Cricetulus griseus: one gene and its partner. The protein of the gene in region 2 interacts with the protein of the main gene of each other region in a pairwise test. Links are inferred from orthologs where the notes say so. Each region holds a gene or a part of one and is shown on either strand. Other genes may lie near its edges.

What was found.
Region 1: the proteins of Cd63 (region 2) and Timp1 interact in binary tests that used the Homo sapiens proteins (3 or more experiments, as listed by UniProt). The link is inferred for Cricetulus griseus from reciprocal best matches to the Homo sapiens genes CD63 and TIMP1.

What each region holds. Positions count from the first base shown.
Region 1 is NC_048604.1:125,720,498-125,729,248, forward strand, and holds the start of Timp1 (metalloproteinase inhibitor 1), read left to right. Parts: upstream 1-3,955; 5' UTR 3,956-4,111; intron 4,112-4,964; exon of another isoform or gene 4,965-4,967; 5' UTR 4,968-4,975; coding exon 4,976-5,096; intron 5,097-7,123; coding exon 7,124-7,200; intron 7,201-7,449; coding exon 7,450-7,576; intron 7,577-7,771; coding exon 7,772-7,896; intron 7,897-8,598; coding exon 8,599-8,751. UniProt on the Homo sapiens protein: Metalloproteinase inhibitor that functions by forming one to one complexes with target metalloproteinases, such as collagenases, and irreversibly inactivates them by binding to their catalytic zinc cofactor.
Region 2 is NW_023276806.1:129,014,106-129,022,856, forward strand, and holds Cd63 (CD63 antigen), read right to left. Parts: upstream 4,627-8,751; 5' UTR 4,602-4,626; intron 4,466-4,601; exon of another isoform or gene 4,357-4,465; intron 3,887-4,356; 5' UTR 3,876-3,886; coding exon 3,810-3,875; intron 2,708-3,809; coding exon 2,519-2,707; intron 2,356-2,518; coding exon 2,281-2,355; intron 2,187-2,280; coding exon 2,091-2,186; intron 1,988-2,090; coding exon 1,847-1,987; intron 1,656-1,846; coding exon 1,572-1,655; intron 1,434-1,571; coding exon 1,368-1,433; 3' UTR 1,274-1,367; downstream 1-1,273. Other genes in the region: Rdh5 (retinol dehydrogenase 5), read left to right, coding at 157-380. UniProt on the Homo sapiens protein: Functions as a cell surface receptor for TIMP1 and plays a role in the activation of cellular signaling cascades. Plays a role in the activation of ITGB1 and integrin signaling, leading to the activation of AKT, FAK/PTK2 and MAP kinases.

The DNA of each region.
Region 1 (8,751 bases), on a different chromosome or scaffold from region 2:
AAGGCAGAAGAGGCATAGTCAGAGCAGTAGTGCTGACCTCCAAGAGTTGGTGACCCATAGAATGTGAGCTACACTGGTTGCCATTCCCCCCACCCCCAGAAAGAGGTTGGTCAGAGACAGGCGGAACTGCAGTCAATAGTTTCACAGCGACTCTGAGCCCAGATTGCAGAAAACTGCCTGCCAGTCACTTACTCTGCTCTCTAAGTCCTAGACTATCCATATCTGCTTCCCAGCCAGAGGCCTTAGATAAGGGTGAGGGAATTTCCCAGAAAAGAAAGTTTGTTTTTATGATGATTAGCTATTGGAGTGAGTGTGTGTATGAAGGTGTGGTAGTTAGCATGCAGAATGTCTTCAGTCAAGCCTTGCATGTAAGTTTCATCTTTATGTACACACACACACACACACACACACACACACACACACACACACACACACACATCCCTTCAAAAGTGAGATTACCCAGCCAAAGTCAGAGGTGTCCACATCTATTGAGAAGTCCATATGCATTGAGAAAGACCACCACAGGCTTAAATCACATCGGGGGCTTCGAAGAAATCCAGTCAGTCAGCTCACTTGCTCTTAGCATGTGAGCACGCCCGAACAGCATGCTCTTCACACTCCTAAGACCTACAATCGGCACCTTGGAGCACACACATGAGCTCCCTCCCCTTGCTCACACCTACCTAACAGAAAGAGCCACTCATTCAGTATAGAAGCACACACAACGCTAGAAGCACACAATAAATGGACATATGCATCACTCCCCAGCATGTCCACAATGAACAGAAGGATCAAAACAACATGCAGAACGTGTGTGCACGTTTAGGCATTTCCATAACCAAATTCCTATAACTCAGACCTCATTACATTCCTGGGTCCATGAAAAGTATATCTTGATGCAAAATTATTTTTCCATATCTATGACACAAACATACAGAAAATCAAACACACAGACAACACTCCTGGGTGTGGACATAAATGCAGACAATTATGAGTTAGGTAAAGATGTGTTAAGTTTCCCTATAACCTGGGCTGGGTAGAAGGGACCAGATTAGAGGACCCTAGCCCCATCATATCCCGTGTATAAATTCAGAGCCCCTGCCTCCTACTGACAGGGCAGGGAATGCATTCTTAGAGGGGTTCCTGGGCAGTGGCAGTTCCCAAGAAGCACAGGAAGCCCCATAGTCTAAGGGTGACTGATTGACCTTCAGGTCTCTCCCTCCCTCTACAACTTCCTCCTCCCTCATTTCCCAAATGTGTGTCGTCATGAGGATGGGGGGAGGGCTGAGTGGCATGGGTTTGGAAAGGGGGATGGCGGTAAGGGTGTCATCCAGGCAGCAGGCCAAAGAAACAATGCCAAGGTATGTGTTGCGTGTGAGAAGAGAGAGATCTCCCACTCAGGCGTCTACTCATCACACAGAGAAGTATGAGGCATGCACAGTTATATTTGCAACCTTCAACTCTCAGAAGAAACACCCTTAGATATATGCCTGGCTCTCAGGAAGGGAAATTGAGCCCACCAAGGGACACATGCCAGTCACAGAGGCACAGACACACCAGAGAGCTGTGCACATGCAAGCATACCTACTTCTACTTGCTGAGCTTTCTGGATCCTTTTTATAAACCAACTTTGTTTCCTCTGTTCCTGAGCTTGAACACAGTGCTGTGTGTGCATGTAAGTGTGTCTGTCTGTCATATGTACATACAGAGGGCTTGGGATTTCCTGGAGAGCCGTAACCTGCTATCTTGGCCTTCTTCCTAAGGCCGGGTGAGATCCCGGGTAGATACCATCTCTCTGGGCCTCAGTTTCCTGATCTGCACAAAAGGTATAATCAAGACCAAGCACTTAACACTTTCTTGGGGATCATCAGGTATTTGCACATGCCAGTGAATTCCTCACACTTACCCAGTTCCCCAGATAGAGACAAGCCAAACACCTTGACATCCACCCCACTGCATTTCAAACCTGCACAACAATCAAAATCCTCACATGTAACCAGTTGGCAAAAGTGGGCTGACTCAGGTTTTATAAAGAGCTGGTGTCAGAAGCAGGGTCATAGAGGAGAGACTGGACTTTCCCTCTCTTTACTTCTCCTCAGTCCCGCCACCTACTTACTCAGCCCTGTCTCATCTACTCTCACTCCTCACTTTCACAATCAGACAGTTGAGAATTTTGGTTTCCTTTCCTTTGTTCCTTTCTTTGTATCCCTACCTCCCCACCACAGTGATTTCTTCACTATCATTCCTGGACAGGCCATTTGACCCCTTTCTGTCTCTATTTTCTCATTAAATAATGAAAATATGAATTGTAACTCACAGGCATGTTGGGAAGAATAAATCAATTACTTCAGAGGGGAAAAAATCTTAGTATACACATAAAGTAAACCCGAATCTTCAAAGTGCTGGTTACTATTATCGCTGTTATTACTGATTTGACAACTCTTCATTAATTGACATTAAGGGAGAATGAGGACAATAGCAAATGAAGGAACAAAAAATCCAGTGCTTGCTGCCTGACAACCTGAGTGTGAGTTCGTAGGGAAGGAGAGGACTGGCTCCTGCAGGTGGAGAGCAATACAAGCATGAGTACAGCTACACACACACACACACACACACACACACACACACACACACACTGAATAAATATAAGAAATCTTTTGTATATGGTGAGGGTTCTGTTGAGTGCTGGCAGTAGGTTTTTGTATGCTGTGGTTATTGAGCTAATCTAAATTAACAAAATTTAATTAGCTAAAATGACTGTACACAAAGATCTTAGCAATAGTACACAGTAAGTGCTCAACCAAGTAGCTGCTGTCATCACTATCATTATCATTTTGTGTGTGTGTGTGTGTGTGTGTGTGTGTGTGTGTGTGTGTGTGTGTGTGTGTGTGTGTGACAAGGTCTCACTATGTATGTTCCAGGCTGTCCTGGAACTCACTATGTAGACCAGGCTATCCTCAAACTCTCCGGATCCACTTGCCTGCTGGGATTACAGCCATTGTCATTACTATTGGTCTACCCTGCCTGGATTAATTGAGGGTGTTAATCATCCCATAGAACCTTCCACACGACCCCAGAGAATATCCCTGCATCATCAGGAAGCGGGTGGGCAGTAGTTGCCTCATCCCACCCCACCAGGGATGTGGGCTGGTTGGTGGGAAAGGAGCTGGGCAGGATGGGGTGGGGATGGGTTTTCTACTGACTCACTAGCTTCTTTCACCATCATCCACACCCTCACTCCCCCCATTCTCACCACACTATTCCCTGGTTGCCAAGATTGGGCTCCGCCTGAGTGAGGATCTCAGTGTCAAGAAGCCCAGGTTTAAATCCCAGTTTTGTTCTGTGACCCTGGCAAAGTTCTTCACTTCAGCTATTTGCCTGCTTGATTTTGTTTCTGCTTAAGACAGGGTCTCTCGTAGCACAGACTATCTTCAAACATCCTAAGTTCTAGGCTCACTCATGTGTACAACCACAGCAAACTTTTGGGGATAGGTTACCACCTAAGCTCTATCTGCAGGCCACCTCAGTTCCTCTCCCAGTTCTGACACACTTAACTGCCATCTTCAAAAAATAACAGACACTCTCGGTGAATCAATTTCCTCACTATGTATTTGTGTCTCTTCTCCCATCTCATGGCCCTCAACTCTTTTTCTAGTTTGTCTTCCCCTCTGCCACCCCTCAACAAAAACGCCAGGTCCACTAGGAAAGCCGGCCTTGCAACAAAGTAGATGTACTAAGGCGCAGGAATGAAGCCATTGGCTTCAGCCATAGGAAGTTTGGGGAATGTAGGGAACTGGATAAGCACAGGGCTGTGGGGGCTTGGGCTGCCTTTCCATTTCCCCTTCAAGGCCGCCAGGGAGGAATGCGAGTGACGTGGAGCTGGGGGGAAGGGGCACAGTGGGCTGGCTGGCAGTGGAGGGAGTATCTTTAGGCCGGTCCTCCGGCCCGCCCCTAGGCTTCGATTCCTGCGGTGGGTGGATGAGTAATGCGTCCAGGAAGCCTGGAGGCTGTGATTTCCGCGCCAACTCCGCCCCTTGCATGGACATTTATTCTTCACCGCTCAGTCCCTGCCGCCATCGCCGCAGATCGGGCTTCTAGAGAGACACCAGAGGTAAGTGGGAGCCGGGTGTCCTGGCTGGAGCCTGTGTTGGTGCGACCACCAGGCACATCCGGTTCCCTGCCAGACTAGCTGCTTGACTGGGCTTGCAGGTATCAAGACCTCTATTTGGCCAAGGGGGAATACGAAGGGAAGGTTTTTGGAATGAGTATCCCAAGCTAGACTCTCCGGACTCCCTCATGCCCCTAGCATTCATCCCCAAGTGCTCCAAACCCACAAGCCTCTAATGCCTTAAAGACCTCCCAACTTGCCAACTCCTCTGAATTTTTCATTGTTCCCCCAAACCCCTATAGCTCCCTTAACTCCCCCTGCCCTCAAACTTTGCCATGTCCAGCTCCTGGAACTTCAAAAGTTCTTCTGCCTTCAAATTCCTCAACACTCCCATTACCTTAAACTCCCAAATTCCCCCAGACCCCATAACCCCTAAATTTCCCCCAGTTTCCTAAAATCCCAAACCTCCTCTAAAACCCTTAGTAGCCACAAATCCCCATGCCCATTATATCTTAATCTCCCTCAGCTCCCAGCCTCCCCTTATACTTCTCCAGTTTCCCAAACCCCAAATTCTTGACTCCACAAATGTCAGTCTCCAGACTTCTCCAACTCCACTAAATTCTCAAACTTCTCAGCTCCTGGACTCATCAACTGCCACAACTCCATTATCTTCCTATTCACTGTCTCCTAAATCACTGGAACTCAATAAAACCCAAAACTTTCCCAACTGTTTAAGCCCCTAAACCTCTCCAGGTTTCTCACCCCTTAAGATTCTCAGGGTTCCCTAATCTCCCTAGGGCCAATGGGTAAACAGATCAGTTGGGCTGGGGATCAACTACTACCTTGTCTCTCCCAGCAGATACCACTATGGCCCCCTTTGCATCTCTGGCCTCAGGCATCCTCTTGTTGCTATCACTGATAACCTCCAGCAAGGCCTGTAGCTGTGCCCCACCCCACCCACAGACAGCCTTCTGCAACTCCGACCTGGGTGAGTCTAGCCCCCTTTCTGTGCCTCTTAGTCCAATAGGGCTCATGATGGCAGTTATCTCTACAACAGTTGTACTTACCCTTGCATAGATCCACTTTGGCCATATTGACATCCTTAGGCCTAAGCCCACCTTTGTGTTGGCTGTTCCCTCCCAGGTAGATATTTCTCTGTAGTTATTCACATGGGTGGCTACCTCAAGAGTCATCTTACTGGGGTGCCTGTCTACTTTGTTTAAATTTTAATCCCTGCCATATAGTACATCTGATTCCCTGTTAAATAAAACTGTGAATTACACTTCTTAGGGCACAGAAAGGCAGACTTTATTCAGGACCATGGCAATCAGATTTTTCAGTCAGGGAGAGAGATTGGGCTTAACTCTCAACATAGCATAGGCAAATGGAACTCTACAGCCAAGGAACAGTTTAGGGATTGGTGACTGGGAAATCACTGAGAAGAAATATCACAGGCAAGGAGTAAAAAGATTCAGGCTAAGCCCATTTTTTAAAAAAAGATTTATTTTTGCTGGGCGTCGGTGGCACACGCCTTTGATCCCAGCACTCAGGAGGCAGAGGCAGGCTGATCTCTGTGAGTTCGAGGTCAGCCTGGTCTCCAGAGTGAGTGCCAGGATAGGCTCCAAAGCTACACAGAGAAACCCTGTCTCGAAAAAAAAAAACAAAAAGGTTTATTTTTATTTATGTCTATGTGTGTGTGCACCATGTGTGGTGTGCAGGTGCCTGTGGAATCCAGAAGGCATCAGATCCCCTGGAGCTGGAGTTACAAGTGGTTGTGAGCCATGCTATGTGGATGCTGGGAATCAAACTTGGGTTCTCTAGAAGAGCAGCAAGTGTTCTGAACCATTAAGACATCTCTCGAGCCCATGAGCTCACTTTTTTGAGAGTAGGTCTCACTATGTAGCCCAGGCTGGCTTTGAACCCTTCATCCTCCTCACTCAGCCTTCCAAGTGCCGAGATTACAGGCCTGTGCCACCATACCCAGTTCAGGACTCTTGCTGAGAACTGGCCAGTGTAATCACCTGATGGTCAGTGGAAAATATGGAGCCCCTTCACATATCGAGGAGAGTCAGATGAGGGTGGGTTTTTCACTAAACTGATTTAGTATACTTTGGTACAAGTGGATTTTTCTTTTTCTTTTTCTTTTCTTTTCTTTTCTTTTTTTTTTTTTTTTGGTTTTTCGAGACAGGGCTTATCTGTGTAACATCCCTGGCAGTCCTGGAACTCCTATCTGTAGACCAGGCTTGCCTCAAATTCACAGAGATCTGCTTGCCTCTGCCTCCCGATTGCTGGTATTAAAGGTGTGAACCACCACCACCTGGCATCTACAACTGCATTTTTAAGAGAAACTGCACTTATAAGCTTGGAAGAAGGTTAATGAGCCTGAGTAAATTGTGGTCAAGCAAAGAATATGTGTCAATCTCCTCCCTTTTCTAATTCTCCATCATACTTAACAGCCTTTAACAATCCATATACCTTTTTCTCCATACTGGGGATTGAACCTAGGACTTTTCATATGCTAAGCAAATTGAGGTACAAACCCAACCCTTTTGTGAATTTCATTTTAAAACAGGGTCTCACTAAATTGTCTAGACTGGTCTTGAACTCACACTGTAGTGGTCCTCCTTCATCACCTTGACAGAGCTGGGGTTACAGGTTTGTGCCACCATGCCTGGCTACTTAATTTTAGTTATATCCTCCTGGCTTGAATGTGAGATCCACAAGGAAATGGATTCCTGTGTTTGGGTCACTGTTGTGTCCCTAACACCCTGAACAGTGGCTGCATATATCAGGCACTCCAAAATATTTGTTGAGAAAGCCAACAGATGGATATATGAAAAGTGCTTAAAACAGTACCTGGAAGAGTAGACAATGTATAGATGAATCAATCAACAGACATGGAAACATGGAAACCATTAAGTGTGCTGTCTCTATTAGAATTATGCTTGTATATATGTTTTGCTGTTATGGGTTCATGCTGCTCACTTAACTCCTTATTTTCCCCTTCCTTTCTAGTCATAAGGGCTAAATTCATGGGGCCCCCAGAAATCATTTTCAACTTATACCAACGTTATGAGATCAAGATGACTAAGGTATTCCTTCCTTCCTCCCTCCCTCCCTTCCTCCCTCCTTCTCTCCCTCTCTCCCTCCCTCCTCTTTCCCTGTCTCCCTCCATAGCCATATTAACCTCTTCCTCCTCCTCAAAATACTAGCATCTAGCCTTTGGTTGGTGTGGACGTTTCCCATAATTTTGTGATTTAGATATATGACATCAGGTTAAGAGGTAATGGAGTGGGAGGATTAAATCAGTAAAAGATAGACTTTTTGTCACTCATGGGCAGATGCTCAAAGGATTCGACGCTGTGGGAAATGCCGCAGATTTCCGGTTCGCCTACACCCCAGCCCTTGAGAGCCTCTGCGGATATGTCCACAAGTCCCAGAACCGCAGCGAGGAGTTTCTCATCGCGGGTGAGGCCCGCCCCTTCGCTTTGGGCCACACCCCTTCATCCTCAGATGCTTCCTGGCAACTGGGAGGAGCGAGGCTCTAAAGGGAAAGGACCTGGTTGAAATGGGGGCGGGAAGGTTTGTAAACTAATGCTAATCAGGTAACCCCAGCACCACCCGGCCAATCAAAAGCCTGTTGGTTTCTCCATTCCCTTACAGGACGCCTAAGGAATGGAAGTTTGCACATCAGTGCCTGCAGCTTCTTGGTTCCCTGGTATAGCCTGACCCCTGCTCAGCAAAAAGCCTTCTCAAAGACGTATAGTGCTGGCTGTGGGGTGTGCACAGTAAGTTCCTAGAACCAGCTCTCTTTCTGGAGATAATACCTGGAACGGTTTCTTTTTCCCTCTGGCTATTCTTTGTTATTGTAGCTGCTTCCCAAACCCAACCACTGCCTTTAATTTCTCTTGTTGTCCCAAACCTGCTCTTTTGGAGATACTGGTTGTTCTATTATCTTGGGACTGCATGTTCCCTGAACCTTCTCTGCCTCTCTAACTTTTCTTTTGTGTCTACTCTGAAATACTGCTGTCTGTTTCTGATCTCCCAAGATTGGGTTTGGCTTCCCAGGCATGTTCTGCAAGAATTCAACGTGTGATTTTCCAAATCCACAGGGATATGTCGACCTGGCTATTTCAAAACTGTTCCCTGACAGCAATAAATATCCTCTGACCTCAGTCACTGTCTGAGAGCCCCGTTGCCTATTCTTATGCTTAACCTCTCTGCATGCCAACTGTTACCCTCTACTCAGTTCTCTGCCCTGTGAGGCCTGCCTGAGTGACTTCAAGAGATAGTTTCCTACCCACCATTCCAGAACACTGGCTTTCTGTTCCCCAAATGGGAGAAGCTGTTCTCGGGTCTAAACACAGGTGGGGCAATGTCAAGCCTTCCCAGCTGCTCTGTGTTGCCAGAAGGAGAGTGGAACACTCTCCATAGGGGAGGGAACAGGGGAAGAAGAAGCCCCCAGAGTGGACCTTTCTCTCATCTTCCAGGTGTTTCCCTGTTCAACCATGCCTTGCAAACTGGAGAGTGATACTCATTGCTTGTGGACAGATCAGATCCTCACGGGCTCTGAGAAGGGCTACCAGAGCCGTAACTTTGCCTGCTTGCCTCGGAATCCACAGTTGTGTGCCTGGCAATCCCTG
Region 2 (8,751 bases):
TCAGGCCTAGTAGGGAGGAAAACGGGGAGACAGAGGGAGGTGTGGTCACTTCCTGAACTGGGCTACCAGCCCAGGTGATCTGTAAGACAGACTAAGATGGGATGGAGGGGAGGCAGGGACCACGTGCACGCTAACGATGCATCTCCTAAGATACAGATCTCCAAGTTCAGCGTCGCATCATGAACCTGATCTGTGACCCAGACCTAACGAAGGTGACCAGCTGCCTGGAGCATGCCCTGACTGCTCGTCACCCCCGAACCCGCTACAGCCCAGGCTGGGATGCCAAGCTGCTCTGGCTGCCGGCCTCCTACCTTCCAGCCAGCCTGGTGGATGCTGTGCTCACTTGGGTCCTTCCCCAGCCTGCCCAGTCAATCTACTGATTCCAGCTTTCCAGCAAGAGGCCGATTTTGAAGGGCAAAACATTTATCTCTGTCTCCACTCTCTGGTGCTGCCTGGTTCCTGGCACAAAGTCAGCTCTCAATAAATATGTATTGCTTTAAAAGAAAAAGTAGGTGAACAGAAATGAAGGTACCTGTGAGAGCCTGACAAAATTTCTAAGATTTCTAAAATCCCAAAGCTCCCTAGGGCTGGAACTCTCAGGCTTCTTTAGTGCCTGCAAAACTTCTGTTGTCCACTGGGGGGTGTAAGGAACTACCTTGCACTTAGAGATGTTTTTTGAAGCTGCACTTGGAGAGATGGCCACCGGAGGGCACTTTTGTCTGCTTTTTCTACATAGAGTAGTGAGAGTTCGTTTGCACCTGGCAAGGCATAATCTAATGTTTCTGGGGATGAAAATGGTCAAAGCCGGAGGCTTCCATGGAAGAAGGAAATACGTAAATTCCCATTACCTAAGGCAAGGATCAAGGACACTGGCCACACAGATCTTAAGCAACATAACCATTCTGACAGTCGCCAGGTCTCCTTGAGGACTGAGGGGGAAGGAGTTTGCGGGCCCTCAAGGCACCAGGAGGCCAAAATAGACATGGGTCAGGCTTTACCACGTAGGTCCTTTGTGGGAAAACCCTCTGACTTACGCAGGAGATGGCCTCAACACATACTCCAAGAACACTGAAGGTACACAAAACCAGGGGTCAGGGAGGGCACTCGGACACATCCTCCTTGATCCCCCACTTCTCCCACTGCCAACCCAGCCAACACCAACAAAATACCCCTTTCCCAAACTCCCCCTAAATGGCCTGCCTATTCCCAGGGCAGGGGTAGGGAGAAGGAAAAGGAAGGGGCCATCATCATTCTAAGATAAACTGAGACCATCTCCTTTTTAGGTCTGAAAAAATAATCCGTTTAATTGAAAAACCTGGAGAATCCATTCCCTTAGATGAAAAGACGGAAGAGATCAGACCCGCCCCCTACATTACTTCATAGCCACTTCGGATACTTTTCACCAGACAGCAAGAGAAGATTATTCCCAGGATCTACAAGGAAAGATGGGAACGAGGATGGAGAGGAGGCAGGGCAAGCTTCCCCAGACCCGTCCAAGGGCCGTTCTTCCCAGGCCAGCCCCGCCTGCTCCCCAGATGGTCTGGATCGCCCCAACCCACAGCATTTCTTACCTCCACAAAAGCAATGCCCAGGGCTGCTGCAGCCACCAGCAATACATTCTTCCTCAGCCAGACCCCTATATTCTCCACGCAGCCCTGAAGGGAAGAGGCAAGCATGGATACCAACAGAAAGAAACTTCCTACCTCCCTCCCCACCTCTCTTCCAGACTGTCTCCTCCTCCCAGCCCCTTCTCCCCAGATCTCATCCCCAACCCTGATTCCATTAGCATCTCTCCTGTCTCCTGAAACATTTCCCAGGTTTCCCTAGTCTAATGTCTTCTCCCTACCTGAGTATGGATCTTGTTTTCCTTGAAATCAATTCCACAGCCCACAGTGATGTTGATGCAGCAGGAATCAGGGACTCGGTCCTTAGGCATACCAGTGATGTTCTCCCAATCTGTGTAGTTGTTAGCTCCACAGCACTCAAACTAGGAGAGTGAGGAGGGAAGGTTGCTAAATCGAAACCCCACTTTAATTCAGAGATGAGAATCTTCAATCCCCACCACCCCTCCTCCCAACCTTCCCACTCACTTCCTTCTGCCATCCGTCCAGAACTAAGGCCGTCTTGTTGTCTTTAAGGTAATTTTGCATCTGCTGCCGGAAGTTCTTATTAAACTCTGACTTCACCTAAAAGTAGAGAAGCAGGTTGTTGAGAGCAAATTCAGGCCCTGGAGCCCCAGAATAGCCCGCAGAGACAGGGTTCCCCTTACTCCCCACTTACCTTGTCTCTAAACACATAGCCGGCAATGGCTACAGCCACCTCCACTAGCATGATAAGAGACAGGAAGATGGCAAACTGTAGGAGCACAGGACAGGAGTTGGGTTTGAAGTCTGCATTTAAAGGGCTTGCTCTGCTCCACTCAATCCGGAGACACTCCTTGTGTTCCTCGCCCACCCACCTCCCCACAAAAATGCCCTCTGGTAGTCCCAGGAGTCCTGCTCTCCTGCACCCCACTCACTGTAATCATAAGACAGTAGTTCTCCTTGCAGGCCCCACAGCAGCCCACAAAGGCTACCAGGAAGAGGAAGGCGCCCACTGCAATGATGACCACAGGCAACAGGGAGCCAGGCGTAGTCTCACGGGTGATGGTCTGATTCAAAACAACCTGAACTGCTACACCAATGGCAATCAATGCCACTGCACAGGCCTGAGGGGAAAAGTGAGGGTTTGATCAGATCCTCAGTCGAATAGCCCTCACACCTGACCCCCACCCCTGGTGTTTTGGAGACAACGTTTCTCTGTGTAATAGCTCTGGCTGTCCTGGAGGTAGCTCTATAGACCAGGTTGACCTTGAACTCACAGAGATCTGCCTGCCCCTGCCTCCCCAGTGCTGGGATTAAAGGCAGGGGCTACCGCCTGGCCCAGAAAAGAGATTCCTAACACCTCCAAGATCCACTGACTGTAAAGAAATATGTCTGCAGCCGGGTGTTGGTGGCGCATGCCTTTAATCCCAGCACTCGGGAGGCAGAGGCAGGCGGATCTCTGTGAGTTCGAGGCCAGCCTGGTCTCCAGAGCAAGTGCCAGGATAGGCTCCAAAGCTACACAGAGAAACCCTGTCTCGAAAAACTGAAAAAAAAAAAAAAAAGAAAAGAAAAGAAATATGTCTGCCCATCCTTGCCCCACAGTGAAGGCTGGGAAGTTGTTGGAGACACTCAGGGAGAGAGGAATCGGGTGTCATGTCTTCCTTTAAACTGAATACTCATTACTTTCTAAAGACTCTCTCAGAACTGCCCCCTCACTCCAGTGACTATAGGCCAGGGAGGAGGGAGGCGGGTAAGAGTGGCCCCTCTCAGAACAAACACTAGCTTCTCGGGGCAGGAGCAAGAAAAGGTGGGCAGAGCCCTTTCTTCCACAACTGGACGAGAGGATAGAGATGAATAAATCGGGTGGAGAGTGGGGGTAGCCCCATGGCGGCGATACCATCAAGACCGTTGGCAGGTTGCCCCACTACCCCATATCACAAATGGTTGGGTCACCAGACAGGAAGGGCCAGGAGGGGGTTGGATGGGGGTGCTGCCTATCTAGGGTGGCCATTCTCTGCCCAAACTCTCCTCCGATGTCCGGGAAAGCCGGAGGGAGGGAGGGAGAGAGGGAGGGAACCGGGTGCGTTCTGCCTCTGGCCCTTTCTTGGGGCTTTCCTTCCACATCTGGCCTCCAGCTGCCTTCACTCCTGGGTCCCTCACCCCTCACGGCTCCCGCACCCCGCCGGCGTGCCCCGTCCCTCTGTCCCTCTTCCCCCCACCACTCACGCAAAAGGCCAGCAGGAGAACGTAGAGCAGAAACTTGACACACTTCATTCCTCCTTCCACCGCCATGGCTGCTGGGCCTGGGGCCGCGGAAAGCACGGGGATGAGAACAGGAAGAGGGGGGCACCGGCTCCGCAGCTCGCCGCCGGCCCTCGCAGCCTTCCCTGCGCGGCCCCCATCGCGGCCCTTCCCACCCGGAAACCCGCGGTCAGGTCCACGTCTCCCTGCCCCCTCCACCCCGCGGCGGCGGCGGCGGTGGCTGCTGCTGGACAGGGGTGGGGGCGCGGGCTCGCAGCCTCTGGATCCCGGGACGCACCCAGGGCGCGGCCGGCCGGGCTCAGCGCAGACCCCGACCCCCCTCCGGGGCCCCGGGGGCGGCGCGGCGTGCCTAGCGTCCCGCGGGCGTCGCGAACTTCGAGGCCAAGTTGCTCGAGGGCCGGCCCGGGGGCGAGCGCCGTGCGCGGTGCGCGGGGGCTGCTCTCTGGCGGCTGGGGCCCGGTGCCCGCGGGCGCCCCCGGGGTCCCCCGGCACGCGCCAGCCCCAGCCTCACCTGCGCTCCCCGACGTCTCCCGACGCTCTCCAGCCGCGCTCCAGCCGCCGTCCCCCGCGCCCCCTGCTCGCGCCCCGCCTGCCGCGCGGCCCCGCCCCGGCTCCAGCCAGCCCCCTCCCCCGCGGGGTGGCCGCCAGCCTCCCTCATGTGACGCGGGAACAGCTGCGGCCTGAGTCACCGGGGCTCACGAGGAAGGGTGGGGGGAAGGCGAGCCCCCCGCCCGGGCGAGGCCACGTGGCCTCTACCTGGAAAGTTCGAGCCAGGAACTAGCGGGACCTCAGGGCTCCCGGGGCCCTTACTGGAACCCGGCGCCGTCCGGTTCTCTCTGGTTCGGGAACGCTGAGCAGGCGATTGCGTTCCCGGAGGACGAAGGGGCGGCCCAGGGTTGCCCAGAAGCAGAGATAGAGCAAGCGTCAAAAGGGTCTTCTGCAGACCTCAACGCACCCACCGAGAACCGTGCACCTCCCGCCCCCATCCCCGAGCCCGCAGACAGCTGGGGACTGGATGGAATTGGGTGGGGCCAGAATAAACACTTTCAAAAAGTCCCTGGCTGCACGTCCTAGGAGTCAGCCAACATTCTAGACTAGGGTTTTCTGGCCCCAGCTTCTCCATTTCCTGGGACTCCTGGACTGAGCAAACCGGAGGAAGCCCTATTCCATGTCACTTAGAAGACGTCAGAGCCTGGGGCCCTCCTTCTGGTAAAAGATTAACAACGCCTGCGCCTGTGCTCCCTAGCTCCTGAGTTGTGAGAAGGGACACTAAGGCTAGCAAGGCTTTTATCGAGTAGACTTCCTCCCTCATCTTATTCCTCTTCCCATTAGAAGTGACAAAGCCACCCCCGCTTTAATCCCAGCACTCCGGAGGCAGAGGCAGGCGGATCTCTGTGAGTTAGAGGTCCGCCTGGTCTACAGAGTGAGTTCCAGGACAGCCTCCAAATCAATACAGAGAAACCCTGTCTCAAAAAAAGAAGTGGAGGAGGGGGAGGGAAGAAGGAAGGAAGGAAGTGAAAGCCAGGTGAAGGCAGGAGCTAGAAACACCTCCCTCCCTTGTGCCACTGATGGTTCCCAGACAGAGGTGTTGTGAACCGCTAAAACGGAACCAGCCTTTACAGTCCTAGCCTGAGCTCAGTCCTTTTCACGACAGCTCCTTCTGAGAGTTGCTTGCGGAGTCTGAAGGGAAGAAACATTTAGAACCAAGGGCCAGCCTCGTAGCACATCTGTAATCCTAGCGCTTTTAAATCTTTGGTGTTTTGTTTTTCAAGACAGGGTTTCTCTGTGTAGCCCTGGCTATCCTGGAACTCTGTAGAGCAGGTTGGCCTTGAACTCAGATCCGTGTGCCTCTGCCCCTGGCTCCTGAGCGCTGGGATTAAAGGCTTCCTTAGGCCCCATGTTGAGTGTCAAAATGTAGTTCTTTTTTTTAATTATTATTATTCTTTACTCTTTGCTCTTTGGGTGCCCATAACCCAGCTCCCAAATAAATACATGAAGACATCCCTTCTTATGAATGCCCGGCCTTAGCTTGGCTTGTTTCTACCTCTAGAGTGTGTGTGTGTCTCTCACTAAATTCAGAAAGGTTTTGAATTTCTTAAATTACCCTGTCTGTCTTTTGCCTTCAGGCTTTTACTTTTCTGTATACCTTTCTTCTTACTCTGTAGCTTTCTGCGTAGCTGGGTGGCTGGCCCCTGGAGTCCTCTCTCCTCTTTCTGTTCCTGAATCTTCCATCTTCCCAGATTTCTCCTCCTATTTATTCTCTCTGCCTTCCAGCCCTGCCTATCCTTTCTCCTGCCTCGCTATTGGCCATTCAGCTCTTTATTAGACCTTCAGGTGTTTTAGACAGGCAAAGAATCATGGCTTCACAGAGTTAGACAAATGTGACATAAAAGAATGCAACACACCTTTGCGTCATTAAACAAATATCCCACAACATAAACAAATGTAGCACATTTTAAAACAATATTCCACAACACCCAGCATCCTTTCCTGACTTCGCACTGGCACGTAGACATACACCACACATAACAGAGAGAGGCAATATGCATGGAAATAGACCTTGGCCTGGTGGTGGTGGCACACACCTTTAATCTCTGCACTTGGGAGGCAGAGGCAGGCTTTCTGTGAGTTCCAGGACAGCCTGGTCTACAGAGCGAGTTCCTGGACAGTCAAGGATGTCACACAAAGAAACACTGTCTCAAACAAAAAAAAAAAAAAAAAAAAAAAAAAGACCATCATGTTAAGTGAAACCCAGTCTCACAAACACAGGCATCACATGTTTTCTCTTATGTAAACTCTGGATTTTTAAGCGGACATGAAAGTAAATGCAGGATTACTGTTAGGAGTATGGAAGGGAAAAGAAAACAGGATGAATAAAAAGGGAATAACGGGGGGGGGGGTGGCAGAGATGGCTCAATGGTTAAGAGCACTGACTACTCTTCCAGAGGACTCAGGTTCAATCCCCAGCACCCACATGGCAGCTCACAACTGTCTGTAACTCAAGGATCCGCCACCCTCACACAGACATATATGCAGGCAAAACACCAATAAAACATCAAAAGGGAGGGAAATAACAGAGGTAAATATTTATGTATGGGAATGCCATAAAGCTAGGCAGGCAATGGTGGCATACACCTTTGATCCCAGGGAGACAGAGGCAGGCGGATGGATCTCTGCATTCGAGGCCAGCCTCGTCTGCAGAGTAAGTTCCAAGATAACCAAAGCTACACAGAGAACCCCTGCCTTGAAAAAATCAAAAGAGAAAAGAAAGAATGGTCATAATGAAAACCCCTAATAATGTCGCCTCATCCAGCACTGCTTGAGTCCTGGAGACCTGACTGGGATAATGAGGGAATGAAGAAAGGACACGTGTACTGGAAAGCTGGGATCAGGTGGGGCACATGTACTCTCTGACTGAGACACACCGGTACGCAATGCACATTTACTGTGTGTAGTGACGTGAGGCTGGGGGCGGGGGCTGCCTGTAGGGGAGCAGTCTCAGGCTGTGAACATCAGGTAGGAGGAAGCTGCTGTTTGATGCTCTCTGTGAACTCGGTCAGCAGTCACACAGGGATTCCCTGAGCCTGACAAGGGGGGAAGCTTTGCTGATTCCTGTGTGTCTTCGCCATTGGGATCTTTAACGTGGCTGCTCTCGTTACTCAGGACTTCATCTGCTCCTCATGCATTCACCTGGGGTTTACTTCACTTCCCACACAATGGAAATCTCCTATGAAAGAAAATGCAAAGATAAGGCGATGGTCTGGGCTGGCAGAGTTACGCCTTCCCGGAAGGGAGAATACACCAGGCACATTTGTGGCTCTCCCTTATCATGGCAGGATATGGAGGAGGAGTCAGGATGCCTAAGAACACAGTATTCATGAGTTTTCTTATTGTGCTTCTGCTAGATGCCAGGCCTGTACTGGGCACAGGGCAGCCAGGAGAGAAAGAGAGTGGTTCTGTCCTCCGCCAGAAGGCAGAGCCATGTTCTGTGCACAGGAAGGAGGGCAGAAACTCCTGGTGAGTCTCGAGAGATCAGGGAGGGAGTGGGTTCCTCAGAGGTGAGTAGTATCCTCCTGATGAATAAAGGGAGAACTCTCCGCTTCAGGGATGGGGAGTAAGAATTAGAGACAACAGTAGTTATTAGGTTTGGAGGAAGTGTCTCAGTGGTAGGACACTTGTTTATCATATTCAAGGCCCTGGGTTCCATCTCTATCAATGCAAAAAGACTACAAAATAAAATTTGTTGGCTTTGATAGTGATGTGATAATGCAGAAAAGCCAGTCTAAGTCTTTAAAGATACATACTGAAATATTGAATGGTGCCTTGTCATGCCTGTGCTGTGTTTGGGGGCTTTGGAACAATGAATGAAGGTGACAGGTGACTAATACTAGGATGGTGACTTCCATTACCCAGGGCCTCTTTGGATATGTCCCAATGGCATCAGTGATGGGAAGGAAGGTAAGGGGAAGCTTTTAAGAAGGTGGCACTATCCTGGGCTTACACTAAATGAATGGACACATGGAAGACACTGAGATGACAGCCATCATCCACAAGAGAGAGAAGACGGGCATCAGTCAGGAAAGGAGATGGCCATCTAACGTAGGAAGCTCCAGACTGGCATCCGGATGGCTACATCCTACCAGAAGTGGGGTTTGAAACTCAGGAGACAAGGAACAGCCTAGAGACAAAAGCTGGAGTGTCCATGTTACTGGGGAATCACCTGACTTAGTAGTTCAGAGCCAGTCTAGACATCATGTCAAGACCCTGTTTCTGGCCGGGCAGTGGCGGTGCACACCTTTAATCCCAGCACTCGGGAGGCAGAGGCAGGTGGATCTCTAAGTTCGAAACCAGCCTGGTCTACAAGAGCTAGTTCCAGGACAGCCTCCAAAGCCACAGAGAAACCCTA